Macaca fascicularis: one gene and its partner. Each later gene encodes a partner of the first gene's protein in a complex. Links are inferred from orthologs where the notes say so. Each region holds a gene or a part of one and is shown in the gene's direction. Other genes may lie near its edges. The genes, in order: SYNRG and AFTPH.

The links.
Region 2: SYNRG (region 1) and AFTPH share a complex: the UniProt entries of both Homo sapiens proteins name them as parts of the aftiphilin/p200/gamma-synergin complex. The link is inferred for Macaca fascicularis from reciprocal best matches to the Homo sapiens genes SYNRG and AFTPH.

The regions. Positions count from the first base shown.
Region 1 is NC_088390.1:43,470,155-43,480,473, forward strand, and holds the end of SYNRG (synergin gamma), read left to right. Parts: intron 1-1,980; coding exon 1,981-2,091; intron 2,092-2,414; coding exon 2,415-2,450; intron 2,451-3,527; coding exon 3,528-3,659; 3' UTR 3,660-7,438; downstream 7,439-10,319. Other genes in the region: DUSP14 (dual specificity protein phosphatase 14), read right to left, coding at 9,441-10,037. UniProt on the Homo sapiens protein: Plays a role in endocytosis and/or membrane trafficking at the trans-Golgi network (TGN). May act by linking the adapter protein complex AP-1 to other proteins. Component of clathrin-coated vesicles.
Region 2 is NC_088387.1:57,352,328-57,362,646, reverse strand, and holds part of AFTPH (aftiphilin), read left to right. Parts: intron 1-3,479; coding exon 3,480-3,631; intron 3,632-5,022; coding exon 5,023-5,149; intron 5,150-5,556; coding exon 5,557-5,613; intron 5,614-9,278; coding exon 9,279-9,401; intron 9,402-10,319. UniProt on the Homo sapiens protein: Component of clathrin-coated vesicles.

The DNA.
Region 1 (10,319 bases):
GATCTCTTGAGCCCAGGAAGTCAAGGCTGCGGTGAGCTGTGATCATGCCACTGCACTCCAGCCTGAGCAGCAGAGTGACTGGACAGCTTTCCAAGATTGAGACCTCCTCTTTTAACCATTCTCTGTGTGTGTGTGTGTGTGTGTGTGTGTGTGTGTGTGTGTGTGTGTGTGTAGTGAATTAGATAATGCATGTGAAGAGCTTAGTATAGTGCTTGGCAAAGTAAGGGCTTATTAGCTGTTGTTCTATTTATGGTCTGTAGCTGGTGACTTTCAGTTCTCTCTGCAAGCAGTAGGCCTGTATGTCTATCCAACCACCTGCTTATGTAGCATGTGGCCTTTGCTGTCCCACAGGTGGCTCCAACTCAGCTTGGACCAAACTGAACTCTTCTCCTCAGCTTCCATCCTCAAACCTGGTCCTTCTTTCACATGTCTTATTATGGTGAATCCCTTCAGCTGCCCGGGTCCCCCAACCTCTCCCATCCAGCAGGTCACCCAGGCCTGCTCATTCTCCTGCCTTGGCAGCTCTTTTCCGTGTCCATTTCTCCCCATTCCCCACCGCCGCTGCCTTCATTCTGACCATCGGTATCTGTCTCCAGGACTGCTACAGCAGGCTTCTGGCTGAGACCCACGCCTTGAGGATTGCCACCCCCAATTCATTGTCTATACACTAGCAAGAGGGATCTGTCAATAATACGAACCTGGGCCTGTGCTGATCCAGTTGGAACCCCTAGTGGCTTCCAGGATGCTCCTTATCTTCCTTGAAGTCCTCATGCTGTGGCTTCATCTCCTCCTTTCGTGGGCTCTGCCCCCACCCTCTAGATTCCTTCCCATACCCCATCTTTAGCTCAGAGGCCTTTGCCTATGCTGCTTGTTCTGCATAGAATATCCTTCCCTCCCCTACCTCACCCAACCCCATCCCCTTCACCTAGCAGCTCCCATCTACACTCAGCCAAGGTGATTCTAAGTTCTAGGAAGCAGGCCGGATACGGTGGCTCATGCCTGTAGTCCCACCACTTTGGGAGGCTGAGGCGGGTGGATCACCTGAAATCAGGAGTTTAAGACCAGCCTGACCAACATGGTTAAGCCCTATCTCTACTAAAAATACAAAATTAACCGGGTGGGCCGGGCGCGGTGGCTCAAGCCTGTAATCCCAGCACTTTGGGAGGCCGAGACGGGCGGATCACGAGGTCAGGAGATCGAGACCATCCTGGCTAACACGGTGAAACCCCGTCTCTACTAAAAAATACAAAAAATTAGCCGGGCGCGGTGGTGGGCGCCTGTAGTCCCAGCTACTCGGGAGGCTGAGGCAGGAGAATGGCGTGAACCCGGGAGGCGGAGCTTGCAGTGAGCTGAGATCCGGCCACTGCACTCCAGCCCGGGCGACAGAGCAAGACTCTGTCTCAAAAAAAACCAAAAAAACAAAAAAAATTAACCGGGCGTGGTGGCGTGCCTGTAACCCCAGCTACTCAGAAGGCTGAGGCAGGAGAATCGCTTGAACCCGGGAGGTGGAGCTTGCAGTGAGCCGAGATCGCACCACTGCACTCCAGCCTGGGCGACAGAGTGAGACTCTGCCTCAAAAAAAAAAAAAAAAAAAAAAAAGTTCTAGGAAGCAGTCTCTGGCTTCAGTCCCCATCCTCCTCGGGTTGGGCTAAGTGCCCCTCCCTTGTGCCCTGGCACTCAGGACTTCCCCTAAGTAAGCACACCTGGCAATCATGGCACTGCACTGGCTCCCTGGCGCCCACCCGAGACCGAGTTCTCAGAGGACAGAGGGCGTGTTGTACTTGTGCCGGCCTTCCTAGCACCTGGAAGCATGACGGGTTCCCAGTGGATGTTTGGGAAGTTAAATTATTGTAGGGGTGGTGCTAGAGTACTTACGTTGCCGCTAGACCTACTGGGGGTGAGCAATGAGGGAGTGAAGCGAACAGCGTGTGGACTTGCTGGACTTCTTACCCGTTTGTCTTGTCATCCTCATCCTCACAGCCAGATGAAAACTCGCTGGATTTTTCCTCCTGTATGCTACGGCCTGGGATTAAAAATGCTCAGGAACTTGCCTGTGGAGTGTGCCTCTTGAACGTGGACTCGAGGAGCCGGGTAAGCCACGCAGCCTCGTTGCAGGTGGCAGAGGGCTTCCCTAACGTGACTCGGGACGACCTCATCTGGCCCACTTTACTGCGAAGTTTGTGACCAGAGGTGGGGATTTTCTCAAGTCCTAAAAGCTGATGATAGGAGCAGACACATCCCCTCGTGAGGGCAGCGGGGGAGCTGTGGCGGGAGTGGACGCGGCTCTCATGCCTGCAGCACCCTGTACGTAGTGGGGTGGTCAGGAGGAAAGGGTGAACCTGTAAGGATGTGTTCGGAGGCAAGAGGCCCTGTTCTGGGAATGTTGTTGACCTGTGGTTTCAACGTTATTTCAGAAAGAAGAGAAGCCTGCAGAAGAACATCCTAAAAAAGTATGAACCAGTTACACCTTATCTTAGCGTCTCCATTTTAATTTTGAGTGTGGAGGGCAAATTGGATGATTCCATCCATTGCATCCTGAACTGTTCCAGTCATGAATCCTTCACTGAGTCAGTCTGGTTCCCATAATGTTTGATTGAGTCTACTAATGTGTCTGTGTGGCTCCACTTCTGTCTTATTTGCATGCTTGTTTCTCATAATTGGCTTCTGGTGTTGCAGTTATTTTTCTCTGTGATGAATGGGGTGACAGAACGAGCAACTTCTGGAAGCCTGGAAGGTGTAGTGACACACAGAAGGAGATCAAAGAGCTTATCAGGATGTAGCCATTTAGCCATATTTTAACAGACAAGCCACAAGTTGTGTTTCAGAGTTTTGTTTATATGCAGTGCATTAGAACACTAACCCCAGGACGCGGCTGAGGTTTGGACTACTGTTCCATGGCTGGCTGTAGCTTACCGATAAGCCTACTCATCTGGAAATAATTCTTATGTGTTTAATGCCCATTCATTTCAAGGCTTTTTTTTTTTAAACTCTATACCTGTTTGGACTTTTTGATAATGTAGATTCAGTTATTCGCTCCCAATGCCATTCGACCCTAAGAGTTGTTAACTGCCGTTCTCTGACTCTCGTTCTCGAACTCTTGTAATTTTTTGTCATGATAGGCTTGTGGTCAGCTGCAGAAGTGTAAAGGATTGCATGCCGCAGTCCGATGCCAGCCTTAGGAGGAGGGCTTCCTTCAGCACAGTGAGGGATCCAAGCTATCCACAGCCCTCGGCTACTTTAGTTCCCCTTATGATTCCCCCGCTCCGCCCCATAACCTCTGTCTGCCTTTTCCATGGAAGATTTGGCCGCCTTTTCCCGAAACTAGGTTTAGTGGTAACAATTTTATAGCTTTAATTAGCAGTAAAAAACCTTCTCTCTTAAATTCCTGTAGCTACCCACTCAGCTTTTGTGTGTGCCATTTTGGCCTCAGCCTCTGTGACCTGGAGAGATGTACATGTTGGTTTCTGAAAAGCTCTGAGATGCAGAAAAAGCCTGACTTGTCCCACATCTCTGTTTATTTCTGGCAGGCATTCAACTCAGAAACAGACAGTTTCAAGCTGGCCTACGGAGGGCACCAGTATCACGCCAGCTGTGCCAACTTCTGGATCAACTGTGTCGAACCAAAGCCTCCTGGCCTTGTCCTGCCTGACCTGCTCTGAACAACTCCTCTGTGAAGCACTGACTTTTTTTTTCTGTGACACCCCACGGGGTGACAGGGACCAATCAGTAGAATGCGAGCGCTGCACAGTTCACTTCCCTGAATTGATGTGAAGAACACCGCAAGCGACGGGGCCCCCGTCACCCCCACGGCCAGTCTGCGGGGCTTCAGGTAAAATCGTCCCACTCAAGCGGCACGTGGCGCCAGAAGCTTGCTCACTTCTCTCTACTTTTCTTAAGGTTTTCTAAAATACAGACCACAGCTTTCTGGATCTAAGGAAGAACTTGCTGCTGCAGTATTGAAACTGTGAAGAACTGACATTTTTGAAGAAAAATAAACTACTGTTGCGGGACTAGAATGGGCAGCTGCTTGGAGCCAGTGCTTGTTTTTACCCAGAACACTTACTGTCCTGTGAAGTAGAGTGCATTTATTTGCATTTAGTTTGTTAATGTCTGAAATGAATAAAAAGAGGAAATTACGATTAAACTGATGTTCTGCTTTTTATGGAGAAGATTCTGCCCGTCTGCCCTGGACAGTAGCAGGGAGGTGAGGGCAGATTTTACCCACTTGGCTGTCACAACTGAACCAGTTCTCTACTCCTTCCCTTCATTGCTGTCAACGCTCAAGACTTTTTTCCAAAACATGCCTGCAGTCCTGAAGAATGGCACTCTGCAGTCCTGAAGAATGGCACTCTGCAGTCCTGAAGAATGCTCATTTTCACACAGGCCCAAATCCTGTGTATCAGGATAATATCCTTCCCTGCAGGAGCCTTCACTGCAAACCTGTTTTGCCGCATGCAAAGACTGTGACCATGGAGTTTTCTCAGACAAGATTTGTAAAGGCAGTGGAATGAAATCTCTTGGCAGTGGCCGCTCTCCAAATCTCCAAAGATGACTACATAGGGACCAACACTGCCTGACTTTGCAGTATCTGTGAGAAAAACCTGAAAATTAATTCAGGGTGAAAATGTGGAGTTCTTGGCCTAGTGTAAAGTATCAAGATGTATATTTATGGGATAGATACATGACTTAGAAGAAAATTGTCCAGAAATAGTACTGAGTTTTAGATGGAAAAGACTCGTGCTTCCTGGAGTAGGGAATTTTCTTTGCCATTTAATCTGAATGCATAAAATTAGGGGGAAAACTCAAGTGGCTAAGAGCTGTTATTCCTAGGAAGAACGTACCAATCTAGGGCACACGTCTCTCTGAATTGTTGATTATGCGCTTTATGAAGAGATTTTTCAATCTCATGTGCTTTACTTTGTGCGGTTTAGGCCCTCTGACCTAGACTTTTATTTTTAAACCGACAAAGTTGGTCTTGTCTATAATTGCTGCTTTTACATAATTTATTTTCCCTTCTCAGAACAAATTCTATCTTGGTCCGTCTTATAGCTTTTCCATGTTCTCCAAGAAAGGTGTGGAACATTTTCATTAAACAGCTGTTGCTGAGGCTCCTGCTTGACCTTCTGCTCGCCCCAATGCAGAGAGAGGCACCGAGGAGAGAAAGGCTTTTCTCACTCGCTCCCGATGATACCGTCTCTGGCCGTTCCTGACTGAGACAGCTCGCTCTGAATTGGTACCTTTGGAGCTTTTGCTCACCACAAGGCTAATGGGGTGTTTCTAACAACACAGGAGGGACAGCTTGTGGCAGGCTTTTCCTGAGGCCTCGGTGCTTTCATCCTGGGCGGCACCAGGTCCACATGGAGCTGGAATGCAAGCAGGCTTCTAATTGGTCTTAAAAATTTCTTTCTTTTTTTTGTTTTTTGAGATGGAGTTTCACTCTTGTCACCCAGGCTGGAGTGCAATAGCACAATCTCAGCTCACTGCAACCTCTGCCTCCCGAGTTCAAGCAATTCTCCTGCCTCAGCCCCACGAGTAGCTGGGATTACAGACATACGCCACCACGCCCGGCTAATTTTGTATTTTTAGTAGAGACAGGGTTTCTCCATGTTGGTCACGCTCGAACTCCCAACCTCAGGTGATCCGCCTGCCTCAGCCTCCCAAAGTACTGGGATTACATGCATGAGCCACCGCGCCTGGCCTAAATTTCATAACAGAACCATGACAGCAGAATCTACCTTTGCAATAAGAATGTTTCCCAGGAGTTAGAGACCAGCCCTGGGCAAGATGGCAAGACCCCAGCTAATTATACAAAAAATAATTAGCCAGGCATGGTGGAGTGCATCTGTGGACATTTGTGGTCCCAGCTACTAGGGAGGCTGAGGCAGGAGGATCACATGAGTCCAGGAGTCTTGACAGTGACTGTTAAAAATTTCTTTCTTTTTTACAACAGCCTAGGTGATAAGAGAGAGACTGTGTCTCTTAAAAAAAAAAAATAGTAAGTTTCCCAATTTGAAATGTTGCTAAGACATTTTTTTTGAAATGCTGTGTAGATGCCTATCATGTCACAGTGGCCCAGTATCGACATTTTAAAAAGTAAGCTTGTTAGCTGGGCTGGTTTCTATTCCTGAGAAATTCCAGAATGCCTCAGATACAATTCCTTAGTATAATTCCCACTTTCCTTACCAAGAGCGATAGGCTTAGTCACTCCGTGGGAGGTGCCACAGGAAAATTCAGCAGACGTCAACAGAAAAGCCTTTGCTATGAAAAGTATTCACTACCTTTCATATCTCTTGAATACTTGAAATGTTTAATTAGATGCCACCAATAGGGATCCAAGGAGTGTGGGACACCATTGCGCTGCTTTTCTTTATAAACATTTATTATAATGACTCAACACTGCATTCAGCTTCACCTCAGCTCTTCCTGTTAGCCAGGAGCCCCGTGTCCTTGGAAACCGTAACCAAGGTTACTTATTTCCATACTGTGTATTGTGTCAGCCCGCTTCACCCCACTGCTTGAATGGTGATTAATAGCACTTTTCTTTTTTTGGTGGGATGTTTTGCCTTTAAAATTTTTATGGCTTAGTGTGTAATTTCATTTTTGTCTGGACATGCTTGAGATAGAAGAGGTACTGGATGTATTAGGATATTTTCCATGCTTTATTTTTCCTGTGGCTACTAGTTAGCATTTCATAGGGGTTGTGAATTTTTGATTATTTGAATGTTTTGTGTCCATACACATATTTGAAGGGTTTTGGGGGTCTTATTTGTTTAAAGGTGTCTTCTGTTTGCCTGTTTAATGTGTACTTCAGCTTTGCAAAGATTATAGGGCTGTATGTTACAGAAATAGGAGATGCTGGCCCTGTACTGGGGACCACTACAAAAATTCCCCTGAACACCTTTGAGGTCAAATGCCTGCCTTTGTGAACAGTTCATAAACTGACATTTTCAGACATCTGCCATTCAGAAGGGAGCACTGTAGCCTGCTGTAGACCATTCCAGCAAATGTCAGAATGCAGGGCAAGATGTGTGTCGACTGTGTTTTTTAAGTTTAAATTACTTATTTCTTCAGGTGAGTGTGCACCAAATAACAATACTGAAAGGCCCGCCCCTTGCAAGGCCGAGGAAATAAAGCTTAAGTGAAACAGCTCTTGGGGGGAGAAATGCCACTTTACGAATACTTTTCTAACAAAATAGCATTATAATGAAGTTTTTACTTAATTCCATTATTTATATGTTGATGTGAATATAAGTGGTTAAAAAAGTATTCTTGTGGGACATCTCATTACTTTGTAGCTGTGGCGTTATTAACCAGTGAATGCTGTGGTCTGTAGCAAAATGCGTTGTCTTCTGTGTGATGTGGAATTCAGGCCTGTAATTTTAAAAGATGGTGTGGTTTTTCCCTTGTTCATATTTTAATAAACAACTGCTCTAATTGATATGTTTAGATATTATAAAGCTTTACCTTTAAAATATTTTCAGGGTCTGTTCTGAAATCACCCACTGTTAAACTTCCCTCACCAAAATACAAGTGTAGAAGAATGTCAGGCTACTAGACCTTTTCTTGGTCTTGTCTTTGTTGGGTTGATTTCACGTAGATGCAAGTCACGAGGATGAACAGGGGCCCACGCACTTAAGATTACAAAGGTGTTCAGCTTCCTGTGTGCGAAGAACTCTTAGTCACAGCCCCGCAGTGCTGCTTGCCAGGAATTCTACAGGTGATTTTCATTAATTACGAAGAACATCGGTCACCAGGTGTCTTCTCGCCCTAGGACAATGGTTATTTGGGGGCTCTTATTCAGAAACTCCCAGACTCAAAGCTCAGCCTCATACTAAAGCAGCCAGAGCCTCCCTGGATTATTTGTTTTTTTGTTTGTTTGTTTTTGATCTTACAGCATTTGTTGGTTCCTCTGATTTCTCATAGAAACTATTAATTTTTTTCCTTTTAATTTTTCTAGAGAATAATGATGCATGTTTATAACAGTGGGCAGCCAGAGGTATAAAGCAATAAAAGGTAGAACTTAGATGGAAAAAACCATTGCCACAAACCAGGTAAAATGTTTCGTGGATATTTGTCTAAGTATGTAGCTACTGGCCTATGTATGGCTTCCTGCCAAAATGGACCCAAAAAATCTAGAAAACGATTCCTCTGGTGCGCAAGCTACAACGTCCCTGACAAATGAGGCCAAAGAGCAGGGCTGCGACCGGTTCCCATCGCACGGGCAGACTCCCAGGAGGCCCTCCATCCAGAAGGCAGGCACGCCCTAGGACAGTGGTTATTTGGGGGCATGTGGAAAGCTTTCGCCCAGTTGTGTCCCAGGAGTGGGACAGAGGCGAGCTCATTCACCTTCTACCGTGTACCTGATGAGCGGTGCCGCCCATTTTATCAGGAGCAGTGACCTGGGTGACATTTCCAAAGTTAAAGGCAGCCATTTTTTGTTATTTGCTTATCGCTTATACTGAGGTTTGGTTTAGGGCATTTTTGTAGGTAGTAATAGTTGAGCAGAGGCACCTTTTATTGAAAACCAGTTTCTCTGATGGAGGACATGTTGCTTTGGGGTGCTCCACTAACCAAGAGGAAACCAAAACTAGCACCCCGATCAGAGCGTGCACTCTTATCTCCCACCGCCCAGCACTGGGGACAGTGTGTCTGCCACCCACCAGGATGTGAAGCGCCGACAGGACTCTGCTGGGATGTGTATTTTAAGTGGTGTTCACAACTGTCATAAGAGCCGTATTTTAGCAGTTACTGGAGAGCACCTTTTTTTCCATCATCGACACACACACATATCCTGAAATTATTAGTAAAAATTCTAATGTTAAGCATATAGATTTATTAAAAATAATGCTAATATAATCCTGGGCACATGGATTCCAAGAGTTTTTGCAGCAGATTTCATTATAGTTACTTAACAGCTAAATAATAAGGGTGTATTTAACTTACAGAGTCACTAAATAATAGAGGGGAAAGGAAAGAGTAGGGCTAATCCAGTAGAGACTGAAGCTGGTATCAACCTTCCCTAAGCATCTGTCTGGTCAGCAGCCTGGGGCGAAGCTTGTCTCTAAAGGGTTAATGAGGCCCCAAAGTGATTTTTGCACTGAGCTCCTCCTGCACCTACCAAGGTGCCAAAGGCATGAGATTCAGAAGAGAGCAGAACCAAACAGTTTATTAAACTGTTCAAATTGATAAAAATGATTAAAAGCTAAAGATTTTCATAAACACTATTCCAAAATGTTAATTTTAAAAATGTGACTAGCAATGTATGCATTCCCTTTATGTCCCCTCCCTCCCTCTCTCTTAAAATAAATTTGAACACCCAGTGTAAAAAACACTTCAGGGAGAACCAGAAGTCAGCCATTTGAGAAGACAGTGGAGAGGGAGCAGACGGCGGGGAGCAGACACTGGTCCCACTCGGGCTGCTGACGCAGGCTTCGGTGGCACTAAATCCCCCAGTAAGGCATCAGGTGTCGGGACTCCTTCTCATAGACGTCGGGAACTATGCCGTAAGGTGTCTGTACCATTTTAACTGTCGACTTCCCAAAGAGCTGGCGCTCGTAGTCTATCAGCTGCCTCCAGAAGCCTACGTTGGGCCTGATGACAGGTCGCCGGGCTTTCACCCAGTTGTACGCCTCCAGCAGGCACACGTTGTGGAATTTCATCAGGTAGGCGATACAGAGCGTGGCTGAGCGGCTCACCCCGGCAGCACAGTGCACCAGGGTGGCCCCGTGCTTCCTGCTCACACTGTGGATCTTGTCAGCCACGGTGTCAAAGTACAGTCCAATGGGGGCGTGCGGCATGTCAGCCAGAGGCACTTTAACATACTCAAATTGGGGCCAGTTGAAATTAGGGATCTCAATGGTAGCATTAACAATGCAGGTGATGCCACGAGCCTGGAGGAGGTGCCGATTGGAGGCCACACTGCCTCTGCCCAGGAATAGAGAGGAGGTGATTTGAGCAATGCCTCCTAAGTCTCCCTCGGAAATCATCCGAGGGGCCATGAGAGTCCTTGGTAGTGTGCTGTGACCTCTGGAGCTCATGAAGACGCCAGCAGTCACACTTGCATCGTTGGGGGCAAGACCAGAGTGTTTGATTTTCCTCCACCAAGGAATCCAAAATCACAGTCTCCTTCCTGCAAAATACAGGTATGTGTCAGTACTTTAAATGCTACTGATTCATCACAGCCTTCTGTCACGTTTGTCACATGGGAAGATTAGAGCTTTTTTATAATACAGTACAATCTTTCACGGATACAGGCAAATCGTTTTCTATCAATTAACAGGAAAAGTCACCTAGGACACAAACATGTAAAATCAATGTAA
Region 2 (10,319 bases), on another chromosome or scaffold:
TTATATGAGACTCTTAAAAATAGATACTTAAAAACCAGGTACTTTTTTTTTCCTCCCAACTCAACAGGGATGACCTTGGGAAGGATGTACAATACTTGGATTAATTTCTTGTTATAATGTGTAGAAATTGATAAATTGAGATAAGTATTTTCATAGTGATTTAGAATGCTAAATCATGGTAGAGAAATATTCTTAGTGAGCTTTGATTCTAGTTTTGAGACTCATTTATTTAATTCCCTGGCAAGCCACCTGTGTCTATATGTATCATCTGTATAATAACAGTAGTAATGATAAAAACTGCCACCTCTGACACCCTGGGTGCCAAGTATTTAATCCTCTAAATTATCGTCCACCTCATGAGGTAGATAGACCCTGATATCTCCAGATTATAAATGCAGAAACTGGGCAGAAACAGTGGTGGGCACCTGTAATCCCAGTTACTTGGGAGACTAAGGCAGCAGAGTCACTTGAACCTGGGAGGCTAAGGTTGCAGTGAGCTGAGATCGCACCACTACACTCCAGCCTCGGTGACAGAGTAAGACTCTGTCTCAAAAAAATAAAAATAAAAATAAATGTAGAAACTGGAGTCTTAGCCCCTGGATCTATAGCCCTCTATTGAAGTGTTATACCAGTCATTTACTTACTGGAATTAACTAATAGTAAGTTAAATTTGGCCTTATTTATTACCAAGAACAAGATAGTGGTGAGAAAGTCGTTACAGGATGCCCTTACCACCAAACTGGTCTTATGGAAATTAATATACTTTTTTTGGAGACCAAGTCTTGCTCTATCACCCAGGCTGGACTACAGTGGCACGATCTCAGCTCACTGCCACCTCCACCTGCCTGGTTCAAGCGATTCTCATGCCGCAACCTCCTGAGTAGCTGGGACTACAGGTGTGTATCACCATGCCCTGCTAATTTTTGTATTTTTAGTAGAGATGGGGTTTCACCACGTTGGCCAGGCTGGTTTCAAACTCCTGACCTCAAGCAATCCACCTGCCTCGGCTTCCCAAAGTGCTGGGATTACAGGCGTGAGACACTGCACCTGGCCGGAAATTGATACACTTTTAAAAGTAAAATGTCAGAGCAAATTTAATTTTAATAAAAATCTTTGGGCTGGGCGCAGTGGCTCACGCCTATAATCCCAGCACTTTGAGAGGCCGAGGCGGGCAGATCACCAGGTCAAGAGATTGAGACCATCCTGGCTAACACGGTGAAACCCCGTCTACTAAAAATAAAAAATTAGCGGGGCGTGGTGGTGGGCACCTGTAGTCCCAGCTACTTGGGAGGCTGAGGCAGGAGAATGGTGTGAACCCGGGAGGCGGAGCTTGCAGTGAGCCGAGATTGCGCCACTGCACTCCAGCCTGGGTGACAGAGTGAGACCATCTCAAAAAAAAAAAAATGTTGGGCAATGCTGTTAATGGATGCTGGTTATTTATTATTTACAGCTCTATCTCAAGGGGTCAAACCATGACCCACAGAATGAATCTGTCCTGCCGCCTGTTTTTGTAAATAAGTTTCACTGGAACATACCCATGCTTATTCCTTTACGAATGGCCTACAAGGCCAAATGTATTTACTATCTGGCTCTCTAAAGAAAAGATTGCTAATCTCCTGCTTTATCTTATTCAACATAAGATTTGAAGCAATCTAATGTAATATCTGATCCTAAACATATGTGAAACTTTCTTTAGAAATTTCCATTCAACTTATATCCTTTATGGGAAAAGGCTGAAGAAGAAGTAAAAATTGAGGCAATTAGGTAATGTTTCTTTGCCTCAGCTTCATTCCACTCATTTGAGAATTTTGCTGGTGTCTTGACACCTGGCAGTTATGTGTAACATTGCCCAAGTGGTTCGATGTGTTTTAGGGTCATTTCTTTTCTTCCTGTGGTAAACATTTTTTTCCTATCCCATTAAAAAGATAACAAAGAGGATACAAGAAAGATTTAATTTACAGAGAAATAAAATTTGGTCATATGTGAGTTTTTTGTTTATCTTCCCTGCCCAGGAGGAGCCAATCATGTATCCAATTAGGTGGTTATCTGATCTCTTTGAAAATAATGTCTGTCCGTTCCCTCTGTTGAGGCAAGTGAGAGCAAGGGCCCCTTGATGCACTCAAGTTTCACAAGCCTTGGGATCTTGAGGCTACCCTTTACTTAGGGTTCATAATTGATAGTGAGAACCTTTTCTAATATCACACACATGAATATAATTATGATGTAACTTTTATAGAATTACAAAAGAGTACCCTGAGACTAATTATGCAGTGTTAAATTTTTACTCTGATACAGCTTCCAAAAGAGATTTGGATTAAGAAAAGGTGAAATTTTTTCCTTTTCCTTTTTTTTTTTTTTTTTAAATTTTCTTGGGTGCTCACTACACTACAAAACAGAAATCAAGTATCAGCTTGTTTTTGTTACTTGGCAGGAAGTACCACCATGATGTGGCATTTTGCTCATACAGTCTGTCAATTCAATAGTAAACTTAATCTTACAGCAGGCTTTAACTTACTAACAATTTGTATTTGTAGTTGATGTTTACATGGTAAACTGGGCTAAGTTGGAAAATATATTACATGTATCTGAAATAGGAAAATAGGAATAAATGTTATTGTAGGTTACACATGTATAGTAAACCTAGTGGTACCAAAACTAAGTTGATCTAAATCCAACAAGTTTTAGTTAATAAAAATACGTAAAAGAAAATGCCAAGAGATTTATCTGTTTGTTCTTGGTGAAACTACTCTGGGGAATATGAAGGCTTTACTTAGGAGAAAGGTAGTATTCTATTCAAAAATAGACATGCAACAAAGACGAGTAGAAATGGAATATCTAAAAGATAATACATATCACCAAAATGATGAATGAGCTTTTTGAATTTTTTATCAGTAAAAATTGAGACATTCTTTCCTACTTTGCTTTGTACTATTAGCAGCAAAAATATTTCCAAAAGGCTATCAAAATTCGTGTTTATGTCCAAAAAAAAAGATTGTTTAGCTATAATAGCATAATACTTCTCACAAGCATCCGATCTTTTTGTTCCTAAATCTAGAGTAGATGAGTGGTGGTAAGAGACATTCCAGTGTGGTGGAAAGAATATAAATGCTCTCTGGGTTTTTTGGGTTTTGCTTTGGGCAGATTATTCACACATTGAGATTGCTTTCTCACTGTAGAATTGGGTAATTTATTTTTTGTAGAATTTTGTAATAGATTAAGATACTACATGTAAAGTAGCAGGTATATTGCTTGGCACGTTGCTTTTACTTGCCAGCTACGTAGCTCATCATCATTATTTAAATTAATCATTTAGAGTGATTGTTTCGTGAGTAGTTGTGTTCTTTTCACTTAGTGTTTTCTGTATCTGAGTGATGGTTCTTACAGTAGTGGACAGGGTGTGCATGTGTTTGCATTTTAATGCTATTACTATGATATCAATATTAAATGAAAATAAACTTTTGGGGGGTGTTTTGATGCAGACAGCTTTATTAAACCGCCTGGAGCGAATTTTCGAAGCATGTTTTCCTTCCATACTTGTCCCTGATGCTGAAGAGGAAGTTACTTCCCTGAAGCACTTGCTGGAAACAAGCACTTTGCCAATAAAAACAAGAGAGGCCTTACCTGAAAGTGGGTAAGTAGAAGAGAGTTTTTAGATAGCATGTGTTTTTGTTACTTTCAGCAGTTCTAATTTATAAGTTTATCTTAAAACATTAAGGTTCAGGCCGGGCGCAGTGGATCACCTGAGGTCAGGAGTTTGAGACCAGCCTAACCAACATGGTGAAACCCTGTCCCTACTAAAAAATACAAAAAAATTAGTAGGGTGTGGTGGCGCATGCCTGTAATCCCAGCTATTTGGGATTGAGGCTGAAGCACAAGAATCACTTGAACCCAGAAGATGGAGGTTGCAGTGAGCCAAGATCATTGCACTCCAGCCTGAGTGACAGAGCAAGACTCTATCTCCAAAAAATAAAAAATAAAAAAAATTAAGGCTCAAAAACATTGTGTCAAAACCTAAACTCCCTGCCTCTTTTGAGCTGTTTGTTTTTATATTTCTATATCAATATTCTAATCAATTGATGTTATATATTATTTTTTGACTTCTTAGAATGGTAACTGAAAATTTAGATCTTACCTCTGCTATTCTCCCCTCATCTTCCCCATATATCAGTTTTTGGTTAATTTCTTATTTGGCATTTTCATTATTATAATCATGTATATATTGTTTACTCTTAAGCCACTGTTTTCTTTATAGTACAACTTCTTCCTGGGCTTCTCTTTTTCATTAGTGTTTCCCTACCCTTTGAGAGCTTGTTCATACACTTGTGATCCAACCCCTTATTCTGCTCCCATCTAGAATGGTTTCAGTCTGGGCTTACACATATGTTGTCTTGGGACTTCCCTTCACTTAGATCCCATTTTGGTGGAGCACATCCTCCAACAGCCTTCTGAGAAAAAAAAATAGATGGGAGGTAAAATTTTATTCTACTCTCACATTAAATTTATAGTTTAAGATCTCTTTGTTGCTGATGTTCTGAAATTTCACAATGAAATATCTTTTTTTCTTTGAGACAGAGTCTCACTCTGTTGCCCAGGCTGGAGTGATCTTGGCTCACTGCAACCTCTTCCTCCTGGGTCAAGCGATTCTCCTGCCTTGGCCTCCTGAGTAGCTGGGATTGCAGGTGCCCACCACCATGTCTGGCTAATTTTTTGTATTTTTTAGTAGAGATGGGGTTTCACCATGTTGGCCAGGCTGGTCTAGAACTCCTGACCTCAGGTGATCCGCCCGCCTCGGCCTCCCGAAGTGCTGGAATTACAAGCATGAGCCACCATGCCTGGCCTCACTTAGTTATTTTTCTAGTGACTGTAAGTGTTGGCTCTTGATTTCATTCAAATAGTTATATACTTACGTTGGACCCAAGAATAATTGGAATGTGTAACATGTCACAGCCATATTGTAAGTAGAACTCATGGTGAAAGTTATTGAGTAACCTATTGTTGATGGCTTCATCATGGCCTTTGCAGGGAATTGCTAGATGTGTGGACTGAGCTACAGGATATCCATGATGCACATGGCTTGAGATACCAGTGGGGCGGCTCCCATAGCAACAAGAAGCTTTTGTGCTCCTTGGGAATAGACACCCGAAACATTGTGAGTTTGTTAGTACCTTGAAAAATCTTTTAATCAACCTGTGGGTGTTTTAAAATTCTGTTATACTTCTGTTTAAGCTGTGGTAAGCTAGTTCCTCAGAAAATAAATATTTGGTTTAAATGTTCCTTTATATTGAATGTGCTGACTTTTAAACATCAATCTACCTAAATTTTTCTTCAATACTTATTTTTAGAAAAAATTGTTTTAGTAGTTTTTCTTAAATATAAAATGAAGGAATTGGACTGGGAGATAAAATGACCCCATATGGGCAATTTTTAAGTTTCATCAATTTATTATTCCCAATATATGTAATAAAACATCGCAAGCATATTTGGAAACTGTTTCATTGTATGATAGATTATTCTCTAAATATATGTTCTTTCTGTCTGTCTAACACGTGTGTGTAGCTCTTCACGGGCAATAAGAAGCAGCCTGTTATAGTGCCCATGTATGCAGCAGGATTGGTAAGTACAAAAATCTCTCTGCATGTATTTATCATTACTGCATTTATTCTGTAAAATCATCTTAAAATATACTTCTCTGTCATGCTATATAAGAGACGTTTAGTGTTGGATTCTGAAGGGTATAAATAGATCTTTTTTGAACTCATAAATCCCATCAAATACTGATCGCAGGACTTTTAAAATATTTCATTAATTACAGATACTGTTTTGTTTTAGATTGAAAATTTTTATCTTACTAATATTAGCATATATAACTGTTTGTAAAATGCACCTTTGGAGGATTCTTTTTCTTTTCTAAACTTGCTTTAAAGAAAAAGCAGCTGGGGCCCGGCGCGGTGGCTCAAGCCTGTAATCCCAGCACTTTGGAAGGCCAAGACGGCAGATCACAAGGTCAGGAGATCAAGACCATCCTGGCTAACACGGTGAAACCCCATCTCAACTAAAAAATACAAAAAATAACTAGCCGGGCGAGGTGGCGGGCGCCTGTAGTCCCAGCTACTCGGGAGGCTGAGGCAGGAGAATGGCGTAAACCCGGGAGGCGGAGCTTGCAGTGAGCTGAGATCCGGCCACTGCACTCCAGCCTGGGTGACAAAGCGAGACTCCGTCTCAACAAAAAAAAAAAAAAAAAGAAAAAAGAAAAAGCAGCTGAAGTATCTGAAGGCCTAGAGATGTAATTTGTTTTAATTCAGTTATTAATTTTAAATAATGCAATATTGAGGCTATAGATGTACATAAAAGCTTAGAAACACCAAATTATAGTGAAATTAAAATGAGCCAGGACTTATAATGGGTTCTTAGTTTTTCCATTAATGTTTTAAATGTGTTGAATTTTGTTTTTTCAGATATGCCAGGTAGTACCGGAAAACAGACATTTTCATTCTGTTCCTTCTCAAGACTCAGTCACATTTTAAAGTTTGATGTTTGTGTTTTTTGGTGTGTCTTTTTTATTGATGAAAAAAATATATTTTTATTGATGAATAAAAATGCCCCATCAAACTTAAAACATTACTCTAACCGTTAAATTGGAAATAAGGGAAAAATAATGAAGGAATCTTTGGTATAGAATTTATACAACCCTATTATGTGCATGTGACAATTTGCTGTGGAACTTGACCTTTAAATCTATAAACTTTCTCCATGAATAAGCACTAATTATTGATTTTGAATTGGAACATTTTGATTTTTGTGGAATTTTCTAGAGTTTTGTTTTTTTTAAATCAGTGTTTACTCCTTCGTAAATGGTTTTTATCATGTACTTTAAAAACACTTTGATGATTCCCCATTGTTTTCTGTTGTAGGTAAATATAATGCTGAACATTTCTTTAACTTTTTGGTTATTTGGATTTCTTTTTTTCTCAAGGAGTAGCACTCCAGAGGTTGTTGATGTTATGGAACTAGGAATTTAATTTGTAGGCACTTTCATTCAGCATATTAAGGGCAGTGACCTACTTAATGCTAATGTGTAGCCTCACCCCATTAACCAGTTCTGTGAGGTTTGTGAGGAGTTAGAAGCTAAAGCTTATGCTTTATTTTTCAACCTTTATTAGAAATATTTTTACTTAATTAAAAAAATAAAAAAAAATTAAAAAAAAAAAAAATATTTTTACTATTTCTATGGGCTTTTTTTTCCACTTCTTTCCTCCCCGCCACCTTTTTTCCAGTTTATTTTCACATCTATCAGCTCATACCTATAGCTACTATTTCTATATAAGCTTTAATACTAAAGTTTAATGAATATAAATGTATCTCCCCTCCTCCATCTTTGTGATATCTTTCATTTAGAAACCTTTCTTTTAATATCAAGTTTTAATTTATAGCTAACTTTACCCATGGTGCCTTACATGTATGAGATGTTCAATAATCTTTTGATCTCACCTGGAGAAATAGTACCTGAAATGATCATTTAAGCCACTGGTTCTCAAACTTTCATGTGTATCAGAATCACTTGGAAGACTTGTTAAAACACAAATTGCTGAGCACCCCCCCGCCACCCCCGTTTCTTGTTCAATATTTCTGAGGTAGGCTCGAGAATTTGTACATCTGACAAGTTCCAAGGTGACACAGAAGCTGCTGATCGGGGATCACAATTTCAGAACCACTGCTTAAAGTGATCATTCAAATTACAAGCCTTGGCTGAGACTAGTAATTGTTTACCAAATGTATCGACTCTGCATACGGGCACACTAGAGAGCCTGTATAATACTTATGGTATTGAGTCAGGCCATGAACTTCTTTCATTTTTCTAGCTGCTGGGTTAAAGCCTTTCAGATGTGCTACTGTTAAGAATTGATTCTGCAAACTGTTTTAGTTTACGCCTATTTTATTGGGGAAGGGAGGAGGCAGGGATTCTCCTGAAAATTTTAGAAATTTACAGATTCTAACATTAATGACTTAGCAGCTTTGAGTTTTGTTTTGTTTGTTTCTTTTTGGTCCAGTTAAGGGTGATTTTGTCTAGGATATAACCTTTGATTGAAAAATATTCAAAAGCTTATCAGATATTATTTTAAAACATGTAACAGTTTGACTTTTTTCAGACCTAGATTATGGCCCATTTTGAGTTTGGTAGAGTGTTGATGAAAAATACTGATTTTTTTCCTATTTCTGTAGCCATACTGAACATCTATCTTTCTTACTCAAAAAGCATATTAGGCCGGGCGCGGTGGCTCACGCCTGTAATCCTAGCACTTTGGGAGGCCAAGACGGGTGGATCACCTGAGGTCAGGAGTTCAAGACCAGCCTGGCCAACGTCCCATCTCTACTAAAAAAATACAAAAAATGAGCCACACATGGTGGTGGACACCTGTTTCTTAGCTTCCCAGGAGGCTAAGGCAGGAGAATCGCTTGAACCCAGGAGGTAGAGGTTGCAGTGAGCCAAGATCACGCCACTGCACTCCATCCTGGGCAGCAAGAGCGAAACTCCATCTCAATTAAAAAAAAAAAAAAAAAAAGTATATTAGATTTGTAACAAACCCTGTGGAACCTGTAAGATGTTTTCCTCTCTAAAAAGGCTGTATATCTGCTTTGCCTGTCCAAGGAACTAAGTTTCCAGTGCCGTCATAGGGATCAGGATCAAACATTACATTTACACTGAAGGATATAGATGTCATATTATATGGTGTGTTTTAGAATCAGCTCTCACTTCTCACACCACCATGGGGTAATGTGTACAAAGGGTGCCCTTTCCATTTTAGTGTCATTAAAGTGTTGGATTTTTAGAGGTTAGATGTGACATATTGTTGTCTCCCCCAACCCATCCCGAGTTGGTGCTTATGCTTTCATGTGACAGTAATAACCCTGTACTTTAAAACATCTGATTTACAATACAAAGTCTTGCTTTAAAAACTTTTGATTCTAAAGGTATTGTGAATGGTTCTCATTATAGTGCTATAGGATTTTCAGTAAATAAAATTTAAGAATAGCCAGGTGTGGTGACATGAGCTTGAGGCAAGAGGATCCCTTGAGCCAAGGAGTTTGAGGCCAGCCTGGGCAACATAGTGAGACCTTGTCTCTTAAATATGTCTCTTAGAAAAAAAAACAAAAAGACTACTTCCTTTTTGTCTTCAGTACTTTCCAAGTGACCTGTCTTTTTCTCCTTTCTGATAGATTAACTTAAGCTTGTGGGCTGTGGCCCCTACCACCATTAAAGGCTAATATTCCTTTTTCAGGGTATGTTAGAGCCCACCAAGGAACCATTGAAACCACTTTCTGCTGCAGAAAAAATAGCTTCCATCGGTCAGACAGCCACCGTGTCACCAGATATGAACACATGTACATCTGATCAGTTCCAGGTAAAAATATCTATATGTGTATAAATGTTTATGCATGTATATACACATATATCCACACATACTGCCTTTTTCCTTCATTTATGACTGTTTTAAAAATATTTTTAAAGCTTGATTTAATGATGGATATGATTTTGATTAACATCCCTTGGAATACAATGAACAAATCGTCTTTAATTTTTGAAAACAGAAAAGCTCAATTTGAGAAATGGGTGATTATGGGTAAGTTCTTAAACCTTTCCAGGCCTTAGTCTCTTTATCTATAAATTGAAGGGTTTAAAATGAATATCTCTAAAGTCCCTTACAGTTTGAATATTGTGTAATCATAATTACTGACACAAATCTGGTAAGTGCTGGATTTTCAAAAAGAAAAAGAAAAGAAAAAAGGAAACATTGTATTTATACCAACTCTATAAGTCTGCTAGTGTACAGGGGAGTAGTAACACCTGCAGAACTAGTATTTTTTCTGGAATCCTGTGAAATTTTATAAAGCAGTAGTAAAGGTTAGGTATGTCCATTGCCTTAAACTTGTTTTTAGAGTTTAAGCAAAATGGTTATTTAACTCAAAAATGACGTGACCTTTAACTGAACAATCTATGGATTAGGAAAATAGAAAACTGTCTTACTTTTTTTTTTTTTTTTGAGATGGAGTCTTGCTCTGTCTCCCAGGCTGGAGTGCAGTAGTGTGATCTTGGCTTACTATAACCTCTGCCTCCCGGGTTCAAGCAATTCTCTTGCCTCAGCCTCCCAAGTAGCTGGGACTACAGGCATGTGCCAACAAGCCCAGCTAATTTTTGTGTTTTTAGTAGAGACGGAGTTTCACCATGTTGGCCAAGCTGGTATCGAACTTGTGACCTCAGGTGATCCACCCACCTCAGCTTCCCAAAGTGCTGGGATTACGGTGTGAGCCACCACACCCAG